Linked DNA regions of Neodiprion lecontei. The protein of the gene in region 2 interacts with the protein of the main gene of each other region in a pairwise test. Links are inferred from orthologs where the notes say so. Each region holds a gene or a part of one and is shown on either strand. Other genes may lie near its edges. The genes, in order: GTP-binding protein Rheb homolog and translationally-controlled tumor protein homolog.

Region 1 (3,938 bases), on a different chromosome or scaffold from region 2:
TTTCATTGAAAATAATTAATCAAACAGAAGGTTGAACAAAGAACTGCTGAAACTATAGAGAAGATATTTAGGAGGTTATACGAAAAATTTGCATTATTTTGATTACATCATTTATGAATAATCAACACAAACATGAGCAAAAGCGTCAGTTTATAGGGTCTGTGAGAAACTGTGCAGCATGGCTGGCGGGAAAGACCGACTGTGTCCAAAACTAATCCCTTTTGTTTTCCGAAGTGGCAAAGAAGTGAACCTCCCTGAGCGTCGTTTATGCCCTACATTTATTAGCTAAGAAATTAATGGATATCGAGCTACCTCATTCTGTTTCGCACTTGTCTCTAAAAAGGCGGCATGCCATGTCTCTGCTAAACGCTTCCCCTGCTCCGTTGATATCATTCGGTCCATGTGTAAATCAGTTTTATTACCAACCAAAACGATCGGCACGCTGCAACATGATAATTCATTTGTATTTGGAAAAAAAAAAGTGTGTGTGTCAACTCCGACGCACGACTGGAGTTTATTCCTTAGAAACGATAATTATGATATATATCGAATAGAAAAAGAAGGTAAATGAACGCATCTTCCAAAATGATAAGAGAAACAAACATATATCTGTAATCATTCGGATTATTTACATTACTTCAATAAAAGCTTAGTATATAAAAATACACGTATCAATGCATAGAAGTAAAAAAAAACTTTAAAATCAAAACATTAAAAGTTGATGGTTAGGTTGCTGTTTGTGTACGTTGTATCGATACAATAAATGCTACTATATGTATTTATTCTAAAGCATGCATACCCTGTACTCGGCAGCAGTATACAAGTTGCGGCAGAACTTCGTAATACGCAGGCACATAACACACACGTACAAACATACGCACACATTCAACTCTCAGACCAGAGGTAGTGAACTATACAGTGAGACTACGAAGCATCGCACAAAGAGGAGACCCCGAGTATAGGATACGCTGTATAATGTATTCCATCTCATTCTTTTGCACGTTCAATCCCACAGATATATATGCTTGTCTCTGTCTATGTAACACCTCAAGTTTTCGTGTTAGACTTGATTTTACTCCTCATAAAATTTCCGTACCGGGCCTTATAACTCGAATCGTTTCTCAAGGAGTAAACTCCAAAAATTTTCATTAATCACAAAGGAAGCATTGACGAGTAATAGAGATGTAAGATGAATTTGAGGATATCCATAATATTCATCCATCTACTAAAAACCGATGAAATTGATCGAGGAATGTAAAATATTGCATTACAGAAAAGATAATGATTCAGGTTTTCAGGTGATGAAAGAAGAATATCGATGCGGTATAAATAAATTCTATATAACCATGGTCACGAAATCATCAACAACATTGCGGTATAAAGTTACATACTGCACTTTGCCTGTGATGTCCAATAGCTTGTCGTAGATTATTTGTACAACTTCGAAACTTTTTGCACTAGTTATGCTGTAGACCAATACATATCCATGTATGTCCATAGAATACTGGGTAGGAAATATGCTATATTCATCTTGACCAGCTGTATCCACCAATTTCACTTCATATTCTTGACTATTGACACGAGTGCTCTTGGTAAATGCTAAAATATTTGCATTGTAGATGTAAAAGTTGCGAAGTGATTTCAATGAAATTCTTAGTCTTAGAAAGTAGTAATGAGGTCAATATTATTACTAAGAATAATATCATACTGGTAAAACTTACGATATAAAAGATTAAGCTATGTAATGACTCATTTGAGAATTCTTACTATTTTCAATTGTTGGATCGTACGAATCGACGAATAGCCCTTCGACGAATTGTATGCTGAGGGATGATTTTCCTTAAAAATTGACGAAGTACAGTCAATACCGAGAAGTTAAGTGAGAGTAAACACGCGCGCGATATTCTTGCATGAGTGTGGAGATAAATTAAGTATTTATTTGGTTAACAAGAATGAATATCAAATATATGAGATCATGAATTGAAAATGTAAAAATTTTTGACTCACCTACTGATCTATAGCCCATAATGGCTATTTTTCTCTGTTTTGATGGCATTCTTCATGAATTTATAAACTGACAATGGTCCATAACAGGTTAAACTTTCATGAATAAATTTCGACAACCTAGTACTTGACTTTAATAATTAACAAACGCTACAAGAAGCGAAATTCAATTTGCAAGAATCCCAATATGAACCGAGTGTGGTGAACCGTACAAACTCCGTCTTTAAAGATTAACTAAGATTAACTGAAGAGATTAACGCATTCTACTTAAAGTAAGGACCACACGTTTAACACAAGTGAATATGATTGTGAGATGCGTGTTGAAGATATGTTCAGAATGACTACTGGGATTTCATCATGGCAGTATTCGTGGGCTGTGTTTCGAGAATCTGTCGTACCGTCCGTAGACTGCACGTGAATTGCATTCGTGTCCTTTTTTATCGCAACAAGTAAAAACGGGTGTTTTCGGATGTACACCGAATCGTCACTGAACCCGAATGAGTTTGGATATTGCCCTTGTGTTTACTACCTCGTAATTACGTATTGTAAAGTAATGTTCCTAAATGTCTTGGGCTTCCGCCTAACTTGTTTTCAGTCCGAAACAAAATGCAATCTCAATTCTATGAGAATTATGTGACAAATGACTTGCGATGCAGCCGACGTCAGAGATTAGGAGTCATTGTTACATAATTCGTATAGGATGGAACTTGCACTTCGTTTCGGACCGAAAACAAAGTATCCGGAAAAGGAAGACAATAACGAATATTACTGTGACCCTCACGGTCACGATATCTGTCCCCCTTGGGATAGGCATCCGAAGTTACCCGTCAATTTAGGCTGGATTTTCACGGGCAGCAAAATCCTGCCGAATTATTTTCCTGTCGCGGTTTTTTGTTTTATCCAATAGGAATACGCTGATAAAGCAGGGAGGCGCTACCTGGAGCACCCTGAATGCGAATTACCCATTTTATTGGTATTCCTATTGGCCAATGACTAGGCAGCAAACTACTAAATGCTATTGCGGTATTCTGATGCCCATGATGATCGAGACCAGCCCCCTGACCAGCCCCCTGCAACTAGATCGAGTGAAAAAGTAAAAAGAGTAAGCTAGTATGTCACATGATTTTAGTTCTTATTGAGGGCGCTAGCAGTGCAGTTGTACGGGTTGCACGCCGTAAAGGCCGTAAAGGTAATCGCGCAAACCGCGCAACTGTACTAGCGCTCTCTACCGAGTGTGACAACGGTGACAACATAGACTCGTTTTCTGAAACACGGAGTTGCAGGGAGCTGCCCCTGACACTCACCACTGCTCGTATACCAAAAAATTGTACGCGTTTTGTCCCCGTTTTTTAGTTCCTCTACGTGGCGCTAGTAGACTTCTGACACGCTCGCTGCCCTCGCTGACCACGCACAAGATTGTCAGACAACTACTAGCGCCACTAGTGGTGGAGATTGTCGGCAGAATCGAGGGACATTTTGCGAACCACTTTTAGCAACGTGTGTCAAGGGGCTGATCGAGACATAGGTGGGAAATAGCGTGCTAGGTTGATGGTGCAATTTCGGTTGCCTGTTCCAGGGGTATCAGATCCATGACTGCTGCTGTACATACATACGCACTTCGCTTATCCCGCCGACAGTTCATCCGTCTCCTTTCTACTAGAAATGTTCAAGTACTTGCCGCTGTTTGCTAATTTAAATACGATTGTTTTAATTCATATTATCAGGATACTTATACCTATCAATTTTAATCTGAAGTTCGTTATTTGAACTGATGATTTGCATGCCGTTCTAGTCCTATGAGAACTTCACCACGTATTTACACACACAGTTCGGTGCCCGTGACTAACTGCAATAAATTAAGCACTCATCTGACATGTCATCCTCGAATACACTGTGATCAAAACATTAGCAAAGTTTCGGCAATTTAATTTCGC
Region 2 (3,610 bases):
ATAGACACATAGATGTGACATTATGTGTGTTATACTATACATAATATATTTATATGATGTATAGTAATATATATATATATACATATATATATATATATATGTATAAACATATACCTAGATATAAACGCTTTTGTAAACGTCAAAATATTTTCAGTAATAGCAAAGAAGCACATGTGTCAGGTTTTAGAATGTCATTTAATCATTATCAGAGTAATCACTGTTTTGTAAAGAGGAAGAGTAATATATTATTGATGAAAGACTAGAGAATGATATGGAGAAGACCAGTTAACACAGAATAATTGTACATATTATTATATAGTAAACTAAATTAATATTTTCATGTGTACTTTATAAAAAATATGATGATGGTGATTTGTAACAATTCTCAGTCGAATTTGTGACGGTAACGCGAAGATATAGTACGACTGTCTATTCCAATTTTGTCTAAATATAATATTTTTACGAAACTTTCAGTTTTATTAAATCAATATCTATGTGTATATCTGAAAAATTAAATACATACCTCATCTACCTCTAATTTTTATTATTTTTTTTTTTACGTCATACCATGACGATGGAAAAGTATTGTCACTTCGAGCAAAATATTGCTGGCTTGTTTCAATCATTACCGCTTATGGTGTAATTTATAATCCATGAAATCAAAACATCTTCTAATTTTAATTTTTGCTAATGGAAAAAAATATATACATAAAAGTTGAAATTGATGTTGAGGTATTTAAAGGAACAAAATACCAGATTATGAAAACGTCAATAGTTTATTTCGTCAGGCATAGGTGTATCGAATTTATTTCAGAAACAAAAATAATTAATATTGATGTAACAGCTGTAAATAATTCACAATGCATTATTGATCGAAGTGTTGTGCTACCGTCTTCTTTCCCCATCTTCCATTCCGTAATAAATACAAGTGTATAAATTAAATCTGTTAAGAGAAGTGGTAATCAAAAAATAAATAGACTAACAATCATGTTTAGTCTTACAAGTTGGAGGTCATGTCTTTAAAGTAAGAGCTGAATGCGACAAGTGATAAATATTTATCTGAGTAATCTGAGTATGTACAGTTTAGAAAGACAATCAAATAGTGTTCAATATTGTTTAGGTTTCTTTTTGATAAATAAAACTGCAATTGATACAAGAAATTGGAAGGGTTATTTGTAACTTAATTTCACAGCGGCGTCGCCATGTGGGCAGTCTTAGCTTCAGCTTATCTGTAACACATAAAAATAGAAGATATGTAGAATTAAACTAAAAAAACTTGAACCAGTTCAGAAACGAGAGTGCAACCACATCGTTGACAAATTCTGTTTGATTTACGTAGACGCTACAATAATTAAAAATATTGTAACGGGAATTCAGTCACCAATTTTATATAACATGTTTGTGCATCGGTTAACAGATAACATATGTTGACCGAGAATTTCCATGTATAAGACCAGCTGTTGTATATAACTGATCAAATTTTTATGAAATATTGTATAAACTTACAAAATTTTTTTCCACAATTTGTTTCATATCTAAGAATTATTTAGAATTTCTCTTCATCTAGGCCGTGCTTAAAGAACATCAGTACCGGCACTGAGTCACCGTCGATATCACGGTATTCCATTAGACCAACAATTCCATCAATATCCATTGATTCGCCAGTGAAAAATTGTAGCTCCTTGAATCTTGAGAGAATATCTTTCATCACTTTGTTCATGTTGGTCTTAAAAATTTCAACCTGATCTGGTGCCTTCTCTTCCAGTTTGGCAACTAGTCTGAAATTAAGAGAAGTGCAAAAATTTAGTCAATTAAATTGACGTGACAAGTAAAGAATGAATAAACATGGTTTAAAGCATTGACTGTAAAAAAATATGTCAACACTTACTTCTTCATGTAATCCTTGAGGTACAGAGTGTAGGATTTTTTGTCATGGAAGGCAAAAGTTTCTTGAAGACGATGATTCAGTACTACATCAACTCCTGATTCAACAGCTTCATCCGTACCTTCGTCAGCTTCTTCAGCTGACGGGTTGAATCCTGCTATTTCGATTGATCCAGCCTTGCGTGTGACGAGCTGAAATGTGGCGTGAATGTTAGATGCGACGTGTAAGGACGTCAATAACATGTCAAAGAATCGACGTAATTGGGAAGGTAATATACTTACTCTACCATACACTTCGTAGAGGACGTCATCGACCAGTTTTATTTTATAGGTATCTGAGAACATCTCATCACCTGGAATGCGTAAAATAAACGATGAAACATATGTATTCATAGGTTACCTTGGAAGAAAGTGAAATCTAGATGTGTAAAATATCTTCTCCATAATCTTAAAACAAACTAATATGAAATAATTGAGTGATTTGTATGATTTTAGCATAAGAACGTATGGTTGAATTACTAGAGCTAACCGAGATTGGTATGTGACAAAGGAGGCTTATCGAAATGTCACTTTGAAATTTAGTTGATAATAAACGTTTCATAATTCCGGTATAGAATTACAAATTTAGAAAATTCGTATTGTAAAAAACAGGATAAGTTTAGCGAAATATAATTACCGGTGAAAATATCTTTGTAGATCCTCATTGTGGAAGATGGAGAAAGATTTGTATACAGCTAAAACTAAATAAGACGCAGTCACTCGATAGAGCGAACCGGAAAGGACGGTGCTAAAATGGATCGACGACAGGGCGGATAATGCGCAAGACAATGCGCAACATCCGGTTTATTCGCATTTGCACACAGCGACGTCTACTGGCATCTCAGAATCCTATGGATGGTGAATTTTAGGCCTGTAGCGTCGATAGCGTTGACTGAAAATGTATAAAGTCTGCTAGCCCACTGGCGCTTTCCGTAACCAAAAACCACGAAATAAATACTAGGAGACCGAACTTCGCAGGCAAAGTTTGGCTCATTTTACCGCATGAAAAAGGCCAAGTCCGCAGAACGAAATAGCTACATGCTCGCGCATGCGCTGTACGCAGTATAGCCGTGTCCTTTGCTATCTCACAGGGAGTACGTTCCACTTTATGCTTGCAAGGCCCTCGAACGCGACCGCTAAAATTCTCGTTCCACTAACATAAAAAGACCGCGAGCGTGTAGGCAATAGTTATAGGTGGAACGCACACGCGTTTGGTGAAAGCCTACTCTGACCCACCTATCTCGTGTGGAAGTGTGGAACGTATCCAGAGAGTGCGAGTGAAAGACTCGCACTTAACGACGTAACAATTTTAAATTTTAGGGAAGTGAGAATATGTTATGAGTTTAAAGTTATAAAGAGTTACGAGACTTGTAGAATCTTTATGATATTGTAATAACTTGACGTCAAGACACTCCTGCGTCTCTTGATCCTCTGTTTCTTGCAAGAATAATAATAATATGCGACCGCATGGATGTTTTATGTTTTCCTTGCGTGATTGACAATCATGCGTCATAACCTCGCTATACGCAGTCGTTGACCGAAGAATATAAAGACAGATGTATGATGTGATGAATTTACCCCTGGGTAAATTTTTGTGACCAGTTTTCGACGGGTAAGTGGGCCCAGGTGGGCCTGGGAGCGTAAGAGGGTTTTGCTCTATCGACTCTACCTAACGGGTTCGCACCCC

Evidence for each region.
Region 1: the proteins of translationally-controlled tumor protein homolog (region 2) and GTP-binding protein Rheb homolog interact in binary tests that used the Drosophila melanogaster proteins (3 or more experiments, as listed by UniProt). The link is inferred for Neodiprion lecontei from reciprocal best matches to the Drosophila melanogaster genes Tctp and Rheb.

The regions. Positions count from the first base shown.
Region 1 is NC_060265.1:31,580,612-31,584,549, reverse strand, and holds the start of GTP-binding protein Rheb homolog, read right to left. Parts: upstream 2,750-3,938; 5' UTR 2,057-2,749; coding exon 2,008-2,056; intron 1,840-2,007; coding exon 1,768-1,839; intron 1,600-1,767; coding exon 1,392-1,599; intron 443-1,391; coding exon 313-442; intron 1-312. UniProt on the Drosophila melanogaster protein: Binds GTP and exhibits intrinsic GTPase activity. Activates the protein kinase activity of TORC1, and thereby plays a role in the regulation of apoptosis. Stimulates the phosphorylation of S6K through activation of TORC1 signaling.
Region 2 is NC_060261.1:34,473,042-34,476,651, reverse strand, and holds translationally-controlled tumor protein homolog, read right to left. Parts: upstream 2,717-3,610; 5' UTR 2,589-2,716; coding exon 2,561-2,588; intron 2,238-2,560; coding exon 2,167-2,237; intron 2,077-2,166; coding exon 1,889-2,076; intron 1,779-1,888; coding exon 1,547-1,778; 3' UTR 1,507-1,546; exon of another isoform or gene 1,230-1,506; 3' UTR 758-1,229; downstream 1-757. UniProt on the Drosophila melanogaster protein: Involved in calcium binding and microtubule stabilization.